3 linked regions of the Ovis aries genome follow. The protein of the gene in region 1 purifies or fractionates together with the protein of each later gene. This does not show direct contact. Links are inferred from orthologs where the notes say so. Each region holds a gene or a part of one and is shown on either strand. Other genes may lie near its edges.

Region 1 (7,280 bases):
CACCATGCTATACCCGGCCTCACTCTCTCTCTTGCTTTGAGAAGAATGAAGGATCTTTCAGGTCTGGGGAGCACTTAGCACTGGGCCTGTCAGAGTCAGAGCCAGATAAATCGTGACCCAAGTGTCAGAGCCTTGGCAATTTCTCTTTCTAAAATCTTTATTTGTTTGGCTGTGCTGGTTCTTAGTTGTGGCATGTAGGCTCTGAACCTGGGGTCAGATCCCTGACCAGGGATCAAACCCAGGCCCCCTGCATTGGGAGCACAGAGTCTTAGCCACTGACCACCAGGGAAGTTCCTGATTTCTCTAATCATATCCCCTCAACAGTCCTGAGAAGTCTGCTTTATCCCTACTTTGCAGATGAGGACACTGAGGCCCAGAGAGGGGAAGTGACTTGCCTAGGGTCACACAGCAGGCAGAGGTGGAGCAGGGCCTCTAGTCCACGACCCCTGACTCCATACCTGGTGTTCGTGCTGTGACCTCAGGCTGCTTCCCAGGTCCTCTGAGATAGCCCCTGCCTTCACCAGGTGAGGTGATGACCCATTGGGGCTGCCAAGATGAGGGAGCTGCGAGGGGTGGCCATATTGGGTGGGGAGACCCTGGCCAGGCTTGGTGGGAGTCAGCACCTGTGGATGGGGACATAGGGAGCAAAAGGGGGTGGTGGAGTGATGGTCATCACTGGGGAGTTTGCAGCTTGAGTTTCTTTGTGTTTCCTGATCTCTAGCCCACCCAAATTCCTGGCTTAGACATCTCCTAACTCTTCAGTAGTCACACATTCACGCATTCATTCAGCTGTTTATTGAGCACCTACTATGTGCCACTTCTAGGTACTAGGAGTGCAGCAATGTGTCTAGATGGACAAAAGCCCATAGAAATAATCATATGATCACACACACACACACACAGACACACACACACAGGGTCACGTGACCCCACGGACTGTAGCCCGTCAGGCTCCTCTGTCCATGGAATTCTCTAGGCAAGAATACTAGAGTGGGTAGCCATTCCCTTCTCCAGGGGAATCTTCCCAACCCAAGGACATAACGTGGGTCTCCTGCATTTTAGGCAGATTCTTTACTGTCTGAGCCACCAGGGAAGCCTCATGTTATCAAGAAGAGGCACAAAAGGAAGGGAACTTAAACCAATGAAAGTAGTTTGGGAGCACATCCAAAGGAGGTGAATTTTTTTTCCTTAAGAGCATAATTGAAGTATAGTTGACATACAGTAAACTGCACATGTTTAAGGTCTGCAGTTTGATAGATTTTGACACATGGGTGCACTCATGAAACCATCCACATAGTCAAGATAATCCATCACCCCTAAACGTTTCCCTCCCACTCCCCACATGCTGCCTTTGGGGTGAGAACTGAACAACACATGAGTTACTCTGCTGAAATAGTCAAGGAAAAGCATTCAGGCAGAAGGAATAGCATGTGCAAAGGCCCTGGGGCTGGAATGAGCTATCAGCCATCTCTCCTTCTTCCAGCTGCCTACTATATCCCTGCCCTGGTTGCAACTTTTAGCACCTCTTTCCTTGGTGTAGGACAATTTCAGCCAACCATGTATTCACTCAACAAACCTTCAGCCCTCTTCTGGGTGCCTGGAACACACACATGCCTCAGATACTGTCCCTGTCCAGGAGGGATGGACACAGTGTCTCAGGGGAAGGGAGGGTGCAATTAGGGCTGCTGATTATGAGGCATTTCTTCTGTGCTTGACCCTACACCAAGGAAGCCCTTTATGCATGCCATCACTATTCCCATTTTATAGATGGAGTAACTAAGGTTCTGAAAGGTAACTTACCCAAAGATATCTCTTTGGGCCTCAGTTTTCCCATCTGTAGAATGGGTGGAAGTGCGGGCTAAGGGGCCCAGGTAGCCCTGTCTGCTCCCAGAGTCCTTCACCTCAAGGTCCTCTCTACTCTACAGGACCATGGGCAGCAACAAGAGCAAGCCCAAGGATGCCAGCCAGCGGCGCCGCAGCCTGGAGCCTGCCGAGAATACCCACGGAGGCGGCGGTGGTGGAGGCGGCGGTGGGGGTGCCTTCCCCTCCTCACAGACCCCCAGCAAGCCAGCCTCCTCTGATGGCCACCGTGGCCCCAACACGGCCTTCGCCCCTGCAGCCGCTGAGCCCAAGCTGTTCGGAGGCTTCAACTCCTCTGACACAGTCACCTCCCCGCAGAGGGCGGGGCCCCTGGCTGGTCAGTGTGCCTGGGAGTGAGTGCCGGGTGGCCCTGGCCCCCTGGGCTGTGTGCCCTGGGGGGCAGCGATGCCCGCGTTCTGGGCTGCTGTTTCTTTCTCTTAATGACGGGGAGGAGTCTAGGGGTTATTTGGTCTTAGGGGCTATTGGGAGTTTTTTGGAGGTTTTATAAACTGGAAAGAGTGGTGCACACGCCATTGCCTTTAGGGCTGAATTCTGATGTGCAGTATAAAGGGCCCTAGAGATAAAGGGCTGCAGGTGGAAACTGAGGCCCAGAGAGCCGGGGGCTTCTTGGGGAGGCCCGAGGACCAGGTCTGAGGCTTTGCTTTTCGCTCTGGTTAGCCTGGAGATGGATCAGGACTGGAGGCGGTGAGTGGCCAAGGGGGCGGGGCAGGTTTTAGAAGGAGAGAGAGCGCTCGGGTCTTCAGAGGCTGGACCTACGAGATGCGCCCCTGCGCCCTCTGCTGGTATTGAGGGGGTATAGCCGCTTCGGGCGAGTGATGCTTAGTAAGAGAAGTAGATGCGGTTCTGGAGAGGTAAGGCCCTCACACAAACACGGGCATTTCTACCGGGACACCTTCAGACAGACACACACACACAGTCGGCAACTCATTCAGAGACACCCAAATAGGACACGTGCACATGTTAGGCTGAAGATGCCAGCGTAAACACAGACACACCATGGACACAGAGACACACTCAGGGACACAGGAATGGGCACCCTCCAGGCACAGACACACACCCACCGCAGATGCACACAAATGCAAAAGCACATACGCAGAAGCGCCTCCTACTCCCAGATGGAGACACAGACGCGTGCAGTCGGAGCCCTTCAGAAGCGCACACATGCTCAGCTAGCACCCATGGACACGCAGATGCACACACGTGCAGTGAGAACACACAGACACGCACCCAAGCGAGACAGACGGACCCGCAAACACAGCCATTCATTTGTTCAGGAGACAGTTGTGGCGCCCCTCCTGTGTGCCAGGTCTCTTCTGGTGTCAGGAACACAAGCAGTGTGTAAAACAGACAAAACCCTCCTGGGGAAGAGAGGCGAAGAGCGAGTTGCGTAAACTGTGCCCTGCGTTTGTGGGTGGTAACTGCTCTGAAAGAACACGGAGGACAGGGAGGGGCGCTGGGGGATGTGTGGGTGGAGGTTGCATCTTAAAATGGGCACAGAGAGGGCTTCAGGAGGGACAGTCACCCGCAGCCAGGATCGTCCCTGATGGCCCGAAGCACCCAGAGTCACACAGAGAGTCACAGAGCCGCCTCCCCAGGGGCAGTTTTCCTTCATTCACTGCTTCACTCACCCCATGGTTGTTTCTTGAACACCTGCGATGCGCCAGACTCTAGGAACAAAATAAAGATGCCTGTTACTGGGGGCTTCGGGTTCTTGGGGGGAAGACAGATACCAAACAGAAGCCAACACCCAGCATCACCTGGAGCCCGCTGGGCTCATCATGTGAACCCGCTCAGACACACGTGAGAGACCCACGTGCCTCCTCCGTGCCCTCACAGGTGTGCCAGACACATAGACACAGGGGACATGCACAGAAGCCCACCGTCTCTGTAAATGAAAGCAGGCCCCCGGGCTGGCAGTGGGGGACCCTCCCCCACCCCCAGAGTGCAGGGCTCTCCTCTGCCAGCCAGGGCCGGGCCTTCTGACACGCCCGTCTTCTGAGCAGGCGGAGTGACCACCTTCGTGGCCCTCTATGACTATGAGTCGCGGACAGAGACTGACCTGTCTTTCAAGAAAGGGGAGCGGCTTCAGATTGTCAACAACACGTGAGTGCCCCCTGGGGACCCCGATCTGGTCTTGGGCTGGAGCCACTTCTGACCATCCCAGAGCCAGCTTGATGGGCAGTGGGCGGGGCTGGACGTCAAGGCAGCCGAGGCCCAGGGAACCCATCCTGGGCATCCTGGGGTCTGTGGGGGTGATCAGGCGGGCACCCCGATGAGGTGGGTGTGGCTTTGGGAGGGCTCCAGGGACAGGGATCTGGGTTCGGTAACTGATCCACAGAGCACGGTGCTCCAGATCCCAGCACCCGCAGAGGGGCGTGTGGTCAGAGTAGGACTGGGCCCAGGACCCGGGGCTACAAACAGCAGGGCCTTTGTACTTGAAGGCTGTGCCCCAAGAGGTGCTGGAGCACCTGGGGCAGCCCAGAAAGTGAGTCTTCAGCTGTAGAGGGAGGGCCCTACATTGGCAGGGTTGGGGGACCCATATTAGGGACCCAACATGAGAGGGGTCAGGATAGGGCATGGGGAGGATGGGGCATAGGATGTGGAAGGCAGGGCACCCTAGGGTGGCATCCATGTCCCCCTCCAGGGACTCCAGCCTTGTCATGGGGCATCCTAGGGCCAAGCTGATGAACGGGGGAGCAGGGGACCCTGCCAGACTCTGGGGCCCCTGTGAGTGATGAACTGATGAGAGGGGTGGGGCTTCAGTCAGGGGGTGGGGGCCTTCCTCTCCTCCCTCCTCCTCTCCTTTCCCCGCCTGCCCAGAGTGCAGTGGGAAGTGGGGTGCAGCATCTGTCGTGGGGGGTGGGGAGTGCAGGCTTTGGGTGCCATGCCCTGGGGTGATCACAGTGGGGGCGGAGCTGCCGACAGAGGGCGGGGCACAGCTCCACACCAGCTGCCTTCCTGCCCTTGGACGGCCTGCTCTCCCGTCTCTGCCACCTCCCATCCCTCCCCCGCAGCCTCGGGGATGCCCTGCCCCACTCCTGGCCCGTGCTTGCTCCCTCCAGCTCTCTCTCAGCTTCTCCCTCTCTGCTTCTCTCTCGCTGGCCCTAGGAGGAAGGTGGATGTCAGGTGTGTACGTGCTCCCAGGGCGGCGGGCTGGGTGGGGGTGCTTCACTGGTGGGGGTGGGGCTGCATGCGCTTCCGCCTGCACCCCCTTGGCTGCACCCCCTCCGGCTTCCCCAGCTTCTGTCCTCACACCCTAGAGTTGGACCAGATCCTGACCTGCACCCCCAGGCTGAGAATGGGGAGGGTCCTCTCATCACCCCTGTCACTCCCCATCACACCTCCTCCCCATCCACCTCCTGCTCGCTCAGCTCCCCCCAAGTGCCAGCTGCATGCAGGGCCAGCGCTGGGCCTAGGGAGGCCTGGGTGGAGAAGGCCACGTCCTCCTGGGGCCAGAGTATAGTGGAACTGGCCCTAGTCCGGGCCCCGTGGCCTGTGCAGGGCATGGCTGGGATCAGCTTGGGCTTTAGGGGGCTGTGCTGTGTGCCCACCTCTGGTCGTGACCAGGGGCTGGGAGGCTCAAGCAGGACCTTGAAGGAAGCACAGTGAAGCCGAGCTGCTGGAGGGAGGTGATGGATGGCAGCCCCCCTCAGAAGGGCAGCTCCTGGGAGGGTGCAGTGCTGGAGGGGGTTACATGCCTTCAGGGCTATGGAAGGGTGAGAAGGTTCTAGAGGGTAGAGTGGGGTTGATCCCAGAGCATCCTGGAAGGCCTGGCTAAGGAGGTTGGACATCCCCACCGTCTCTAGGCATTTCTTGCTTGTTGGTGCCTGCCTGCTGTTATGCATGTTGTTCCCTCTGTGTGAAAGGCCCCTTCTCCCATCGGTCTGGCAAACTCCTACTCATCCCTCAAGATCCAGCTCAGAAGTGCCTTCCTTGTGAGGCAAAGGGGAAAAGAGGGGTAGGCATTTTTACCCACGTCCTTTACTCTGCTGCCATTCCACCAGGGCTGTAGTGATGGGGGAGGGACCATCGCCATATTGATTCCTCATATGGAATGAGGAAACTGAGGCACTGAATGAGGAAACTGAGGCTCAGAGATGTAAAGGCCCTTGCCCAAGGTCACACAGCTACCAAGTAGCAAAGCCAGGATTGGAACTTGGGCAGCAGCACTCTTCTTTAAGCTGCTCTCCCAAGGGGAGGGGGCTTTCCCAGCTCCCCCAAACCCCTGCTGTCTGAGTCCCAATGCCACTCTAGTTCTCTTCTGGTTCCAGCTGTTTCCATCTGCCTACCCCTAAACTGGAAACTCGTTGAGGGCTGCTCTTGTGCCTGCCCCATTTTGGGGCCCCCATCACCCCATGTTCCTCACCCCACTGGGGGTACCCAGGTGGTACTGGCGCACCATTTCTTGTGCCCTGCTTGTGGGCCTGTGCTCACGCTGACCACTTCAGTTGCCCTGTTTTATTTAAAAGGCACCATAGTCCTGGGAAGTGGAAATGTTTATTGGCTCCATTTTACAGATGAGGAAACTGAGGGCCAGAGGGGTGAAATGACTTTCTCAAGGTCACACAGCTAGTAGTGACAGAGCTGGGTAAGGGGCCGTGGGAGGGTAGGCATGACCCTGAGCCCTTGGAGGGGGTGCTCTGCAGGTGCAGAGGAGCTGGGAGGAGGGAGGGGCCTGAGCTGGGCAGGATGGTACCTCAGGCTGGAGGAGACTTTGAAGTGCTGGGGAGCTCTCAACTGGCAACGATGGGAAGGGCTTCTCAGGGGGCTCACAGCTTGAGCAAAGGTGTGGCCAGAGGAGAGTTCTGGAAACTTTGATCCTGCCTCTTTCACTCGTCCTTTGCCAGCCCCTTTCTTTCCTTCTTCCTGTCTTCCAGGATGGGCTGGGGGTTGCCTGGAGGGCCAGAAGTGATGGAGACCTGTCCATGGGAAGCCCATGAGGGGCAGTGAGGTGCCCCAATTGGAAGGTGGGGGTGGATCGGGAGCCCTTCCTCATATCACAGTATTCAGCTGCTCCTCTGCCTTAGAAGTCAGGTGATGGTGGAGTTGGGGGAAGCTGGCATTAGAGGAAGAGGAGGGGTAACAGGGTCAGGGATGGGGCAGGGGAGTATCCTTGTCCTGCTTCCCTTAGTGGAACATAGGCTACCCAAGCGTGGGGTTTCATACCTCACCCCGGGACCACCCTGCTTGTCCCTCTACCATTATTGCTTAAGCTCCGTTATTGTAAGCCCCCTGCACCCACCGCGCACCCTGCAAGAGTGACGGACTTTCTGAGTCTGGCCTGTGGCTGGGCTGGGAGTCGGGGAGGGAGAGCTTAAGGCCGAGCCTGTTGGGGCCGGGCCAGGGCTGGCTGGCCTGGAGTCCTCACAGTAGCTGCCTGGAGACTCTGCTCCCTGGAT
Region 2 (7,310 bases), on another chromosome or scaffold:
CACTAATATTATTACTCTGAACCTGCATCTGCATCAATCTGAAGTACGGCTGAGTCTACGGCCATACCACCCTGAATGCAACTGACCTCCTCTGAAGGATGGTTGATGGCTAAATATGAAGATCGAAAAAATTTAAAAAACAAAACACTTTCTAGGTGACAACTACTTTTCTTTTACACACAAAATTGGTGGAAAATGCTTGATTTTCATATCAATATTGTATTTAGAGAAACAAGGAGCTATGGAAGAAAGGTTGTTTCCCCCAACTCGCGAAACACAAAAAATGCCCAGCAATTGAAAGCATCTTGAAAACGACTTAGGGATACAGAAACTTACATTTTAACAAAAGCAAGTGTAACTCTGAATCACAATTGTCCTTAGTTGTGAATGCACCTAAAAACTTGTTTATAAAACTGCACAAACGGTGTCTTTTAAAAGATCCCACCAAAACATTCACCAAATAACACAGAACACTTACAGTATTACTCATCATATTATTCCAAGCTCTCACTGGTTAACTATACAGATGGAGCACATCACTACACATACTTGACTCCGAATTCAGCACCATGAAGCCGCTTCTCTAAGAGGTCGACACAATAATCTTTAATTGATCTAGGAACTCTGGCACTGAAAGCGTGCATAACACAAGGTAATGATGTCGTCACCGAGGGACGACAAGAATAGAACCCAAATCCCTTGACTCCCCAGCTTGTGTTTTCCACTAATTGTGCTCCTTTCTACTCATTCGAGAGCATCAAGTGTGAAGGGCTGGAGAAGGGAGTAGACACATGCGCCAGGGTCGCGAGGTGGAGACGGCCCGGAAGGTCCTCAGGAATCACTCTTTGGCACTTGTCTTTTGTTTCGGCTGAGGACGATGAAAGCTGCAGCAACCACCAACCCTTGGGACCAAGAACTGGAACTAGGTACTGCCCGTGGCGGTAACTTGTCTTTTCATTTTAGGCCTTTCCCCTTTTTCACAGCTCCATCGCGGCCAGCCCTAACCTCTTCCCATCCTCAGCTCTACTCCGCACTGGAGTCCCCGCTGACCTTTATAAGAGGCGGCTACGCTGCATCCGTCCTCCACCTGGCCCCGCGTACGCTCCTTAGGACAGGTGTTCTAGGGGGAGGGGGAGGTTTCCCTAGAAAATGAATGCTAATCAAGCGTTAGAAATGGGTTTCAGCTGTTAGCAACTTGAGATGGGAACCGGGGTAGATACCCAAGTCGGCTTCTGCGTGGGTCTGTGCAGCTCATCACGACAAAGCAAAATGTAGATATATATGCACAGAGCTTTTCCCTCTAGCTGGGAGCCTTACACAGCTCAACCGTCCCCTAGGCAACCTCCCGCTGGAGGACGCTTTCCGGAGCGCGCGTGTTTACACTCTTCCTGGACCGGGGGTGCTGGAGAACGTCGCTCGCGGACTCTGGGGGATTCCAAACCGTTACTCCGCCCGCCGGGGTGGGACAGCCCAACGGCTGAGCCTGCGCAGTTGGGCTAGGTCGGCACCAGGGTCCCGGCGCACTACAAGTCCCAGAAGGCAAAGCTCCGCGCGGGGTCGGGGGGAGCGGGGGGGCGGGGCGCGGCGGCTGCCTTACCTGCCGCGAGCTTAGTCCTCCGGCTACTACCAGCTCTCCCCCTCCCCCGTTCCCGGCAGTCTCCGCTCCACATTAAAAGGCTACTTCCTCTGGAAGCACATGAGAGGAACCCTTAGCAGCCTCTACACTGACGCTCCCCGCGTACTCGCTTTTTCTCTCTCTGCCCGAACTGAGCCTGACTCCCTCACCGGAGTCGGCTAGCGGACGCAAGAGAAGGGAATTTTTGGAGGGAACCAACCTGGTTCCACCTGATCACACTTCCGCCTCCCGGGCTCCGGAAGGTACCGCGCACGCGCTCCCTGCGACTCCGGCGCGGTTGACTTCCGCTCCCACTGTGCCCTGCGAGTCGAATCATGGATCACACTGGTAAGGAGGCGGAGGCAGTGGGGGTCCAGGTTCCATGCCCCCTTGGCCGGCCTGGGACTGGTCGCCCAGCGAACATAGAGGGGTTACATTCGCCTTACAGCACTGGGGTGTGGCGGCGAGGAAGGAATCTCACAGACCCTCTTCCCGTCTCCGGCCAGGGCCTGCTACTTCCTGGCCTACCCTCCGATGTGGTACCTACAGCCTCGGTGCCGGCAACGGCAGCTCCTTCTGAGCCCGGAGCCGGCACCGCGGGGGGGCGCGGGCTTCGCGTAGAGGAGAGAGCGCCGGCAGTTTCCCCCTCATTTTGGGTGCTCTGCCCTACGTTATGGGGACTGGCGGGTAGAGAGTCTGGGAAGTGTCATTACGCTGCGAGTCGATGTGCTAGGGTGGGTTAGAGACTTCCTGCTGTTTCAGTCAGCTTTGGGCGGGTGCTGCGATGGTCACTGCCTGTCGTTGTCTCTCCGGTGTTTCTTGGACTAGAGGTGGGAGAAGGGAGTCGGATACGGTTTTTGGAATGATACCGGGAGCAGCTTTTCTGCTTAAGCCTGTAGCATGCCCCGCGCTTCATCTGTGGTCCTTAACCACCAGTCTTGAGCTTAAAATCAAGATATTCTCATCACTTTCTCCAAGTAAGAATGGCTCCATTCTTTCTTAAGTGTTTTTTGTCTTTTGCTCCCTTGCAGTTTTTGGATGTTGAATGAGTGCATTTGGAGTTAGATACTGCTCCGTTCAGTTTATCAGCTGTATTACTAGTAGGGTGATAAAAGGCTTTTTTCCAGTATCACGTATTAGTTAGGATTCCTCAGTCATCAACTGTCTACCTAATTTCATATATATATATATACACACACACACGCACGTTATGTGTGTATGTATACACACACACACATACACATATGTATATACACATATTCTTCTAGGCTTGGAGGTGGAATAATAAACAAGGTGAACTGAGTCCCTGTCCTCAGGGAAGTTACGTTCTATTGGGAAAACCACAATGAACAAGTGTTTAGAAATACAGATTATTATGAGGGCTTTGAAGAAGACATATGGGGCTGTGGAAGGTAGAAGCTTCAGAGACGGTGGTCAGGAAGAGTCTTTTTAGGAAAGTAACATTTGTAAGCTGTGATCTGATGGATGAGAGGAATCCAGCTTGGCATAAATCAAGTGGAAAGTGTTTATAACAGGTACTAAGACTCTGAGGGAGGAAAATGTAGAGAAAACCAATCAGCTGCACTTACATAGAGGGAAAGAGCCCTAAGATAAGATTGGTAAGGAAGACAGGACTCGGGTGGTGCAAGACTTTGAAGTCCATGGAAAAGATTTGAGTGTAATTTTAAGTGCAATATGAAGCCATTGAACAGAAGTAGAGGAGGAACATAATCTGTTTTTAAAGTGTAACAGGTTGTTGTATGAAGAATGGTGTAAGAGAAGGAGGCAAGATAAATAGAAAATTTAGGAAGTGATTGCAATAGACCAGAAGGGAAGCTTGGTTTAGTGATGGTGGCTTGGTTTAGTAAAAACAGGAATGGGCAGATTCAGTAAATATTTTGGTGGTAGAACTCAGGCCCTGGTGGATTGGTTTGGAGGCATGTGAGAGAAAGGAAAGGTGCGTAGGGTTCTAGTTTTTGAGTGGTGTCCTTTATTGGAAGACTTGGGAGAAAAATGCCTTTTTTTTTTTTTTTAATGGAGTAGAGGTCACAAATGGGAATTTGGCAACAAGACTTTGAACTGCTAAGGATGAGGTGTTTGTTGGGACATAGAAGGGGAGATGTCAAGTGGAAATCATAGGGAGGTTTGTTTGGAATGATTTTAAGGCATGAGGATGGATGAGATCACTTAGGGAAAGGGAAAACAGTAGAGAAGAGGGCCTAGCAGCAGGCTCTAGGGAACTCTAGTGTTTGGAGCTTTTATAGAATTGAAACCGTGAAATCTTGGTGTTAGAGAAGCAAACGTGCCACATTAGCGAAATGTTTCTCATTTGAACCTGTTACTGGAATTGGAAGTCAAGCACTTTTCACAGTTTAAAGATGTTATGTTGGGAAATTGTAATGTGGGTTGGTGTGTATCTGAGTATTTATTATCCTACTTTCTAAGTTAAAAGTTTGCCTAAGAAAGTAAAAGTCATCCTAACATGAAAATACTCACTAATGAACTGACCTCTTGAAAAAATAGTTCCTGCTCAGATATCCCTGCTGCTTAACATGAACCTCTTTTCTTCTTTTTTTTTTAAATTTCCTTATAAGGCAGTGTCCTTACCAGTTTCATGTCAGAAAATGGTATTAAATTTTGTATACTGATTGTGATTACAAACCTTACAAAATATTCAAGTTTTCATGATATTCATAAATGTGAATTTGGTAATTGAATCACAAATAAAATCATTGGGAAATGAGGATGTGCCAGATAGCCAGTAAATTGAACACATGTCAGGATAGGCATCTCAAAAGGAAAATTCTAATATTAAAGGATTAAAAGAGGCCCCGGGGAGATTGATGGAACTCTCGAATGTTATGCAAAAATGACTGGTTTTGTGAACGTGCTGAAATTGTCAGTCATAAAATGAAGGCTATCCTGTAGTATTGTAATAGAAAATTACTTCAAGAAACTCCTAATTAACACTTGATTGAGTCTTTGGCCATTCTAAAAGTTAGCACTTAGTTGTAACTGTAACCTAAATTTTGTAAAAATATTTCTTGATTCCTTTAATTCAAGATAAAATTCTGCACAAATCTTTTAAAAACCTATATGATACAGTATTCCGTATTAGGCCTTTTACAGTGGATTTCACTTCATATGAGTGGTTACATCCTTAATTCTCACTCTCTATAATATCCAAGGACTTTTCATTGTTAGGGTTTTAGGGTTTTTAGTTGTGATATTCAACTAAATATATTGTTGAATATATTGCATATATACTGTATATTTTGACTCATAATAAAACCCCCCAGGATAAACCCAGAGTGATGTCACTATTAACAGCTTGCACTTGGAGTCTGAGGCAGACTGCAAGATGTTAGAGGGCAGCAGGCTCTTGAAAGTCATAATTGTGACTTCGGATGTCTAGGGTAGCGTGAAAAGGACTTGTAGTAATGAAGTGTTGTTCACCAAGGAAAAACCGTTCAGAGTCCTTTTACTGTCGGAAAGATGACATTGAACTGTCTCTGATAACTTGCTATTTTTTAAATTCATTGAAAAATCAGGAATACCTTCCAAGCAAAAAAAAAAAAAAAAAACCTCATTCTGCCATACCTTTTTGCTGTTACATTGTTTGCAGGTACTTTAAACAGCTAGAGCCGAAGCAGATGAAATGCATTATTATCTTTTTGCTACTTCATTGCCTGTAGATGTTTAGCAACTAAATGCAACTGGAGTGAAAGCAGATGAAAGCATTATCTGATTGTTGATACATTTGTGAAGTGTTGAGAGTTAAATCAAGATGGATTTATCCTAGTTTAAGACTTTTAACTGTCCATGTATTCCCATTCCCATGATTTTTTTTTTGCAGATTAGCTGTTATGAAAATAATGATAGAAAGCAGACTGAAAGATATTTAAATTAATAATTAAGGACTGATTTTGAATTTTGTTCCGTGTATTATTGAGAAAGAGTGCAAATCTATGTGTTATTCTAGTATCCTTAGAGATCATTACTGCTGGGTAGGATACTACTTCCAAATTTGGCTTTAGAGAATTTAATGTGGATAGTTTGGTTATGTCTCTGTGCTGTCTTCCTGCAGTGGCAGTTACATAGCGTTGCTCACTAATTGTCATGTTTAAAATGTTACTATTTTAAATTATTTGCGTTTCCTACTTTAGGACATTTGCCTTTCTGCTTTTAGCAGATAAAGGTAAATATTTTCTGGATTGTAATATGTCATGGACTTGGAAAAGAGGTGGCTTTTAATCTTAAAATAGAGTCAGTTCTATGAAATAATGCTCATATTACTCATAGGATATGAGTAAATTTATTTCGTAAGCTAATAACAGAGACATAGAAAGTGTCAGTTGTTTAGGCCTAGTTGAAGTATAGAAATCTTGCATCCTCCTCACCTATAATTTACCATTACAGTGCTGACTAAGAATAACGCAGTCACCTGTACATATAGAAATGTTATAGTACATTAGTGTCTGCGTTTACTGCTAAATTGTGTGGTAATTTTTACTATATTCCTGAATGCTTTTTAGAAAAACTATTTTACACCGAAGAGGATAATCACATCCCTAAAGCTAACTTCGTTTTCAGCGTATTATTTATGTAATTCTACCACTGTCAGTGTTAGTTTGTGTTTCCAGTAGTGATTGTCCTGATGTAGATGCAGATTACTAAATTCATTGAGTGCCTACTTTGCATGCTTGATGGAAATGATGGTTTTCTTTCTTTTTGCTGTTCTTTCTTTATCTTTTATTCCTTCTTTAAAAAAAAATCTTACAGTTGCTAGACAGAGCTTCTTACTTTAGGCTCATGAAGGACTTTATGTTTCTATAAACCCCTCTGGAATTCCATGGAAAATTTTATTGTCCATCCTCTTAGGGGGGGGTTCTGTAACTTTTGTCAACTTTTTAAAGGGCTCCATGTCTTAAAAAACATTGCTTTAAGAGTTTATCCAAAATAGAGAAAATTAGTACTTGAACTTACATAGCATAGTATTTACAATCAGATACTCAGCCCTTCATGATGTTGGGTATATTGCTTTAATACCTGTGGCAGAATAACCTTCAAAAAGAAAACCTAAAAGAAATTACAACTTTTTTTCCTAACATAGACAATGAGTTACAAGGCACTAATAGTTCTGGATCGTTGGGTGGTCTTGATGTTCGAAGACGAATTCCTATAAAGCTCATCTCCAAACAAGGGAACAAAGCCAAAGCTTCACCTCGAACTCCAAGGACTATAAACAGGATGCCTGCAAAGGCTCCAGCTGGTGATGAAGGTAATGTGTTTAACAGGTCCAAAAGTCTTTCTTTAATATCTGATTCCACCAAATAAGCCATGTGAGTTTATTTACTTTTAGCCACTTCTTTTTTTATCTTAAATATTCTCTTCTTCAGTCTTCGACTTCTCATTTTGGCATATTTTACTTGCTATCCCTTTATAAATATTTTTGATTTATTTTCTTTTGTTGTTGAAAGTAACACTGTCTATTGTTTAGAAAAATCTAAACAGTATCACAGAAAACATGATACTAAAGTAAAATTGTCCTCCCATTTTTATTCTCCCCTCAAATAATCCCTGGTATGACATCTTCATAGTTGCTTTATAACTGCCCCCCCCTTTTTTTGTACGATGCATGTGAGATTCCGCTTTCTCAGTAGATTCAGATATATCTTATTTAAGAAGATGGGTT
Region 3 (7,380 bases), about 14 Mb from region 1:
TCCCCTGCTGTGTCTAGCACACCGTCAGCACTCAAAAAGTATTTGTTGAGAGAGATTAATTGTTCCATTGACTAGATGGGGAAAGGAAGCCATGAGAGAAGTGACTTGCCTAAAGAAACAGGAATCCTTTACTCCCATCCTCCAGCTCTCCTCTAGTCCAGTCCTCTTCTCATGAAACCTGTGACTTCTGGGGCACCTGTGTGGTGACTGACAAGCGCCTACCACTAGGTGTGTGCTCCTGTGGGCTGGGACTAAAGCAGCATCTGGAGCAGAAGTCTGACTCCCTGCCCTCTCTCAGTTCCTCTCTTCTCTTTGAAGACAGCCCTTTGCCTTGTGGTGATGGGGGGAGCTGTGAATACCCTGAGCATCACGTAGGATGGGAAATATGGACAGGTCTCCACAGCTGGGCAGCTGAGTATAGGACTCTGTCCTCTTTCATTGAAAATAGGGTATGTGTGGTCACCAAACTGAAATTTCCTTCTCAGGGTCTCCAGGATGGAATATGCAAGTCTCCTTGGTGTGAGGTCCTGTCACCTCTGCACACACCCCACACATGCTCTGACCCCACTGCAGCTGTCTCCTGGAGAGAAGGAACTGCATTTCCTAAGAATGGGCCACTTGCCAAGCTGTACATGCCTGTAATTCTTCATGCAGCCTTGGGAGGTTCCAGGAAGAGTAGCAGAGTGGGACTCAGGTCAAGCAGCCAGTGGCAGGGCTTGAACTTCAGGGCTCAACCACAGCATTTTCCCAAGTATGGTCAGCTTGGGTGGGGAATCTTTTAGATGATCCCAAGGATGAATGTTTTTTTATTATAATAGCTATTTATTTCCATATAGATTAGGAAATATAAGTAGCAAGTCAAACTCTTTTATGAGACTGTCCAGGTGTCTCCAGCACTCAATCATTATTTTTCCCGAGTTCAGGCTTTTGCCTTGTGTGTGGATAGAGTGAGTTTTTCTACTTCCTGGGTAACTGAACGGTTGAAAGTAAGTGAAGTCGCTTCAGTCGTGTCCGACTCTTTGTGACCCCATGGACGGTAACCTACCAGGCTCCTCCGTCCATGGGATTTTCCAGGCAAGAATACTGGAGTGGGCTGCCATTTCCTTCTGCAGGTGATCTTCCCAACCCAGGGATCGAACCCGGGTCTCCTGCATTGTAGACAGACACTTTACCCTCTGAGCCACTAGGGAAGCCCAACTGAAAGGTTGGCGTATAGAAAGTCCTGCCCTCTTTGGCTGCCCTTAGGCTCTAACAGGAGACTTGGTGTGTGGGTCTTTCGGCTGTAGGATCTGTCCCTCAGAGGCGTTTAGGATTCAGTCATTTCACACCTCTGGGTCAGTCCCGCTGAGAGGTAGTGGGAGATACACTTCCCTCTCAAGGAGGGACTTTCCAGTGGCAGAGGGGATGCCTCGAAGGAGGCCCGCTGCACCCCGTATTCCCAGGTCATGGCTCTGGTCAGCACACACTAATTCTACAAATACGGGCAGCGGGGTGCATACAGTCCCAAACTGACGCCCCAACTACTGGCGGTGGTACGGACTGGAGGTGCTAGAAGCACCAGCCCTGTGGAAATGGGAGCTCATGTGGGCTCCTTCTCCTGTGCTGAAATATCCCCTCCAAGAAAAAGGATTACTACCAGGAACAGACCCGTTCCCTCGGAAGCGCTGATCGTGGGACTCTGCCCAGCCACGGATGGGAGAGGGAGGCTGGCCGCCGCTCACCCCTGGCAGCTCAGGCTGCGGGTCAGGAATGAAGGATCTCCCAGCAAGCTGTGCTTGCACACTGCTGAGCAATGTCTCCCGCCTACGGACTTATGGTCACTCCTGAGAGGGTCCGGCTGCGTCCGAGGGGCCCTGCCTGAGGACTACAATCTGGGATGTCTCACTCGCCACCCACCACGACTGTGTAATCGGCCTTCAGCGATTCCTTAAGTCCTGCAGCCTGGGAAGCCACTTGCCGGGCATATCCACGGATGGCTTTGAGGTGCTTACGCGCGGCGGGAAGCGCTGGGGAGTAGGTCCGCGCCTCCCACCTGGTCCCAGTCCCCGACCCCAGGGGGAGACGCGTCTCCAGGCCCGCTCGAAGCTTTGAGCCTCTCCTTCCAGGCCAGACCTGTCGCAAACACCCTCCGCAGAGCACCGTGTGTAGTGTTTCTACCCAGCTCGACGCGAGTCAGGCCCGGATACGCGCATCTGGAAAGCCGCGGAGATTTCCCTTGGGCTCGGGTGGGGATGGCGTGGGCTAACTTGTTAAGATGACAGCCACGGTGCTAGGCGTCTTCCAGGGGCTATGCACGTTCACCACCTTCACCACCGAGAGCCTCTGTCTTTTAAATACATTGCAGCAATTAAAAAGCGGAGGGAGGAGGAGTTCTGGGGAGCCCGTTTGGAGAGAGTGGAAAGAGTTTTGAGCTCCAGGTCTCCCCGATCACTAAACATTGGTGTAACTTGTGTTTGGTCTCAGTTTTCGCATCTGTAAACTGGGAAGAAGACCTACGTCTAGGTGTGACTGTAGAGAAACGGAAGGTGTTGGTGCACAGGCGGCCGGTGCTCCCAGGGTCCTGTTTCCCCCAGGATTGGACCGCGGTGGGGGGACCGCCTCCCTGGCGGTCCGTGAGACCGTGAGACACAGAGACCCGGGCCTGCGCCCCAGGCCGGCAGGCTAGCGAGCATTCGGAGGCGCGTAAGGGCGGGGCCCACGAGGGCCAGGGGAACGCCCTTTCGATCTGGGCCAACCAGCGCTCGTCTCTGAACCGCCAATGAGGAAGCTCCTTACAACCCAGGCCGGATCGGGAGCGAGGCTGAGGCGAGTGCGGCGCTGACAGAGACGCGCGCGCGCGACCCAGCTCGGACCCCGGACCGTCGCCGCCATCACCGCCGCCTGTCCAGTTGCTCCTCAGCCGCTTCTCCTCGCCATGGAGGCGAGGCCGCCACCGCCGCCGCGGGGTTCCAAGCCGCGGGCCGGGCGGTGGCCCTGAGGGCGTGTGGCGGGCCGAGACGCCGTCGCGGCACCGAGGCGGAGCCGCAGTCCTCGACCCCAGCGGTCCCGCCCAACGCTGGACTCGGTGAGTGTTCACGGCCGCCGCCACCCCGACGGGTTCCGGAGATGGGGCGGCGGTTCCCGGGCGCGGGTGGGAGGGGTGCCCAAATCCCTCTTTTCCGGGCAGGATCCATCCGGCTTCTCCAGGGATTCCACATCCTTGCGCTGTCCGTGGGGCTGGGGCGGGGGAGGGGGAGAGTCCCCGGAAACGCGCCCGCCCAGGGGCCGACCCCTCTCCACAGCCCTGGAACTTCGCGTGCATCCTCCTGGGGCCGGGTCGCTGCCATAGTTCATTCTGAAAGAAGAAATTTGGACAGTGAGATCAGAATTTGCTCAGGTCCATTTAATGGGAAGAAAGAGGAGAACTCCTGGCATGAGAAAATTTGCTCTTGCAGTGACCAACTTTTCTTTCCCCAGCCCCTCTCTTTTCTGTCCACTCCCTGCAGTTCAGGCTGCTAAAGAAGGAAGACGGGCTCAGAGCTGCCGAGAATTCAAAATGAGCCAACTGGGAATGCATGCCCCCTCCTTTTTACTTTCGTGAATAACACAAAGAATATCGTTTCTTGAGAAATTAGTTCCTAATTGTATTTCCTGAAGATAAAAAATAATAATGGCAGTGCTGAGCCCAGTGTTGAGCTTTCTTTCTTTCTTTTTTTTTTTTTTTGAGGTCAGTGAATGATGTTTGTAAGACAGGAAAAGAAGAATATTCAAAACCTCTCTAGGAGGGTGAATGCCTTTAGAAGCCCTTGCTCAGGGATCCCTGCTCTAGAACCAGTCGCATCTCCAGAAAGATCTCTTGCCACCTGCTTGCTGTTAGGCAGCTCCAGAAGGAGAAGGTGGTAGGCAAGGAGAGGACTGGTGGTGAAAGATGGATGAACATTGTGTCCTCCTGTTTGTGACCCCATGGACTCTAGCCTGCCAGACTCCTTTGTCCGTGGAATTCTCCAGGCAGTAATATTGAAGTGGGAGCCATTCCCTTCTCCAGGGGATCTTCCCAACCCAGGGAGGGAACCCAGGTCTCTTGCTTTGCAGGCAGATTTTTTACTGTCTGAGCCACTAGGGAAGCCCCTTGCTTGGCCATTCCTTTACAAAACACAGATCTGATGCTATCACTTGTTTACTTAAAACTCCCTTGCTTTTCTTTTGCCATAGGATGAATGAAGCCCAAAATGCCTTAACAAGTCATACAAGACCCTTGACAGCCTTGCTTCAATTTACTCTTATTTTTAGATTAATCCTTCAATCCTCCTTCCCTTCATCCCCTTCTCTGGTCATTCAGAATTGCTTGCCTGCCTTTTTTCACATTTGGATACTTTTGCTTGCTCTTTCTTCCTCACCTTTACCTGCTGAGCTCCACCTCTTTCTTTAAAGCTGTTTTCAGTTGAGAGGCTTGATGAGGGTAGGAGCTGTGTCTTGTTCAGCTCCCATGTTGAAAGCTTCTTCCTCCCAATTGTCTTATAGGTCCTGTCCCATCTCTTCCCCTGATGTTTACTTCCAGGTACCCACTTCCTGAGAGAATCTTTCTTGAGTGTTTCCTGCTAGGCATGCAGCCAGGCAGATAGAATGTTGAAGCCAGGGCTTTTAGTACCTTGATTCCCCATCTACCCATGTCTGTCCTATCCAGCCCCATAAATAATTAGCAGGTAGGAACTGACAGGTCTCATATCCCACTGACCTTCAGTGTGCTCCACTGTCTTTGAAAGGCCAAAAGCCCTATGTTCTCTTTTTCACCTCTGCCTATCTGAAGTGCCCTGGCTAACATATACTCTGAGGCAGAGTGCAATCTAGGAGGCTGTTCACTGGGTACTTTTTAGATGCTGATTTACCATCTAAGTGAAATCTAGAACCAGAAAAGCCACTTCTCTGACTGTGCTACATTCATGGCATTCTATTTGCCAGACAAAGTGCTTAGGATACAGAATAAAAGTGAGGAAGTCACATTTTTACCTTTGAGGAGCTCACAGCTTAAAGCAGGACAGGTGGATACAAATACTTGTCACAGATATTGTGAGGGTGTGATAATACCTTTTATTTGCCTTGTGTTAGGCTAGGTAATAAATGCTTTCCATGAATTATCTTACTTACTCCTTTCTACCCTTGAATAGTGGCTAATTCCTACTAGACAAGGGTGGAAACTGAGCCCATACAGTATGCTGATGAGAATAATCAGGATCTGAATCTTGGCAGTCTAGTTCCAGAGTATCTACCTAGCTGTATAGACAGCATTCCTTCTCTGGGTGGCCTGAGAAAACTTGACTGGGAGGAGGCCTTGGGTCATGAAGGATGGATAGGAGTTTATGTATGGTGGACAGGATACCGGAAAGAGGGAACAGCACAGGCAGGCTTGGAGGTGGAAGGAATCCATTGCCCTTGGGGAACAACGAGAGGTTAAATGTATTTGGACTGGGTAGAGACAAGGGTGGGAGATGAGATTAGGTCAGCTTGAAGGGCTGTGAGTGCTGTGTTTAAGTTTGGGTGTGCATGCTCAGCCGTGTCCAAGTCTTTGCAACCTCATGGACTGTAGCCCACGAGGCTTCTCGGTTTATGGAATTTTCCAGGCAAGAATATTGGAGTGGGATATCATTTCGTACTTCAAGGGCTCTTCCTGACCCAGGGATTGAACCCATATCTGCTGCATCTCCTGCATTGGTAGGCAGGTTCTTTACCACTGAGCCACCTGGGAAGCCCCAGAATTTGGGCAGTAGAGACTTTAAAGGAGGATTTTAGAGGCGGTCAGGGACTTGGGCAGACCAGGCTTTGGAAAAGTCACTCGGGGGCAATGTGGGGCCGGGTGCTCATGCCCTTCCAATTTAAGAGGCAATGGCCAGGACGCACAGAGGCAGAATCATGGCCTCTTAAACCCAGAGTGAGGTCCAAAGAGAATACTGCAGAGTTTTGAGAAAAAGATAATACTTAGGAGAAAAATTACAGCCGTTTGAAAGTATGTAGTAGAGAAATATCTTATTTCTACCTGACCTCCCCAGAGATGGTTGAAGTTTAGAGTGCGTGCTAAGTTGCTTCAGTCATGCCTGACTCTGCGACCCTGTGGACTAGCCCGCCAGACTCCTCTGTCCATGGGATTCTCCAGGCAAAAATACTGGAGTGGGTTGCTATGTCCCTCCTCCGGGGGATCTTCCGATCAAACCTGCATTTCCTCCCTTGCAGGTAGATTCTTAACCTCTGAGCCACCAGGGAAGCCCATTGTGCTTATTTATTCTCTCAAGATGTGAATAGAACTCAAATGAATCTTTATCAGGGTGTATATCAGGATAACCTGGGATGCTTCTCCACATGCTTTCCTTCACCTGACCTTCTCCCCCTGTTTGATTTTATTCCGTTTCTTTCAATTTGCAGAGGGAGACATTGAGTCTTAGAAGGATAGAGTACTTGTGCAAGATGGTGGGTGGTGGTGGTTTTTTTAAGCAGCCCTGTTATTTGTATTCGCCCAGCATATTTCATTGGAAGTTCTGAGTTGATTTGTAAACATTGTTGCATTGTTTTTCCCCACCTTCATGTGGAAAAAATGAGGTCCAGTGAAACTTAAGTTTTAAGCAAGAATTTGGCCAAATGTAGAGCCTTGTCTTTTTACTTCTTAACAAATGTCAAATCTGAAGAAATTTTTTTAGTGACTGAGTACAACAAAAGTAGCAATACTGTAACACTAACAATATAATTGAGCAACAAACCCATAAATAACAACATTAAAATTTATTTTAATATATTCTCTATAGAAAAGAAAATCCATTAAATATGAAATTGTATGTACTTTAAATTCACGTCTATTTGTGTCATTGTATAGACATGCTGTGCATGCATGCTAAATCGCTTCAGTCGTGTCCAACTCTGTGCAACCCTATGGACAGCAGCCCACCAGACTCCTCCATCCACAGGATTCTCTAGGCAGGAATACTGGAATGGGTTGCCATTTCCTTTGATTTTTTTTTTTTAATAGTTATTACCTTTTATCTGTACTTGGTAGGTAAAGTACATGCAGAATATGATTTTTGTATTTTTTTGTAATTTATTGATTTTTATTTTTGACTATTCTAGGTCTTCATTGCTGAGTGTGGTCCTTCTCTAGTTGCAGAGAGTGGGGGCTGCTCTCTAGTTACAGTGTGCAAGCTTCTCGTAGTGGTTTTTTTGTTTGTTTGTTTGTTTTTTACTTCTTGTTGCAGAGCATGGCTGTAGGACACGAGAGCTCAGTAGTTGCAATGGATTCTTAACCACTGGACCACAAGGGAAGCCCTGATTTTTGTGTTTTTGAATAACATCAAACATTTTATTTTTACTCATTTCATTTATTATTTTAAATCACAAAATAACAGTCTATGCATTGATAAC

Evidence for each region.
Region 2: the proteins of SRC (region 1) and CBLL1 purify together in Homo sapiens (affinity purification with western blotting; 3 studies listed by BioGRID and IntAct, with this or other methods). This does not show direct contact. The link is inferred for Ovis aries from reciprocal best matches to the Homo sapiens genes SRC and CBLL1.
Region 3: the proteins of SRC (region 1) and PTPRA purify together in Homo sapiens (co-immunoprecipitation; 4 studies listed by BioGRID and IntAct, with this or other methods). This does not show direct contact. The link is inferred for Ovis aries from reciprocal best matches to the Homo sapiens genes SRC and PTPRA.

The regions. Positions count from the first base shown.
Region 1 is NC_056066.1:66,305,234-66,312,513, forward strand, and holds part of SRC (proto-oncogene tyrosine-protein kinase Src), read left to right. Parts: intron 1-357; exon of another isoform or gene 358-524; intron 525-1,925; coding exon 1,926-2,197; intron 2,198-3,884; coding exon 3,885-3,984; intron 3,985-7,280. UniProt on the Homo sapiens protein: Non-receptor protein tyrosine kinase which is activated following engagement of many different classes of cellular receptors including immune response receptors, integrins and other adhesion receptors, receptor protein tyrosine kinases, G protein-coupled receptors as well as cytokine receptors.
Region 2 is NC_056057.1:50,272,738-50,280,047, forward strand, and holds the start of CBLL1 (E3 ubiquitin-protein ligase Hakai), read left to right. Parts: upstream 1-1,928; 5' UTR 1,929-1,950; coding exon of another isoform or gene 1,951-1,963; 5' UTR 1,964-2,399; coding exon 2,400-2,592; intron 2,593-6,728; coding exon 6,729-6,896; intron 6,897-7,310. UniProt on the Homo sapiens protein: E3 ubiquitin-protein ligase that mediates ubiquitination of several tyrosine-phosphorylated Src substrates, including CDH1, CTTN and DOK1. Targets CDH1 for endocytosis and degradation.
Region 3 is NC_056066.1:52,019,813-52,027,192, reverse strand, and holds the start of PTPRA (receptor-type tyrosine-protein phosphatase alpha), read left to right. Parts: upstream 1-3,017; 5' UTR 3,018-3,064; intron 3,065-7,380. UniProt on the Homo sapiens protein: Tyrosine protein phosphatase which is involved in integrin-mediated focal adhesion formation.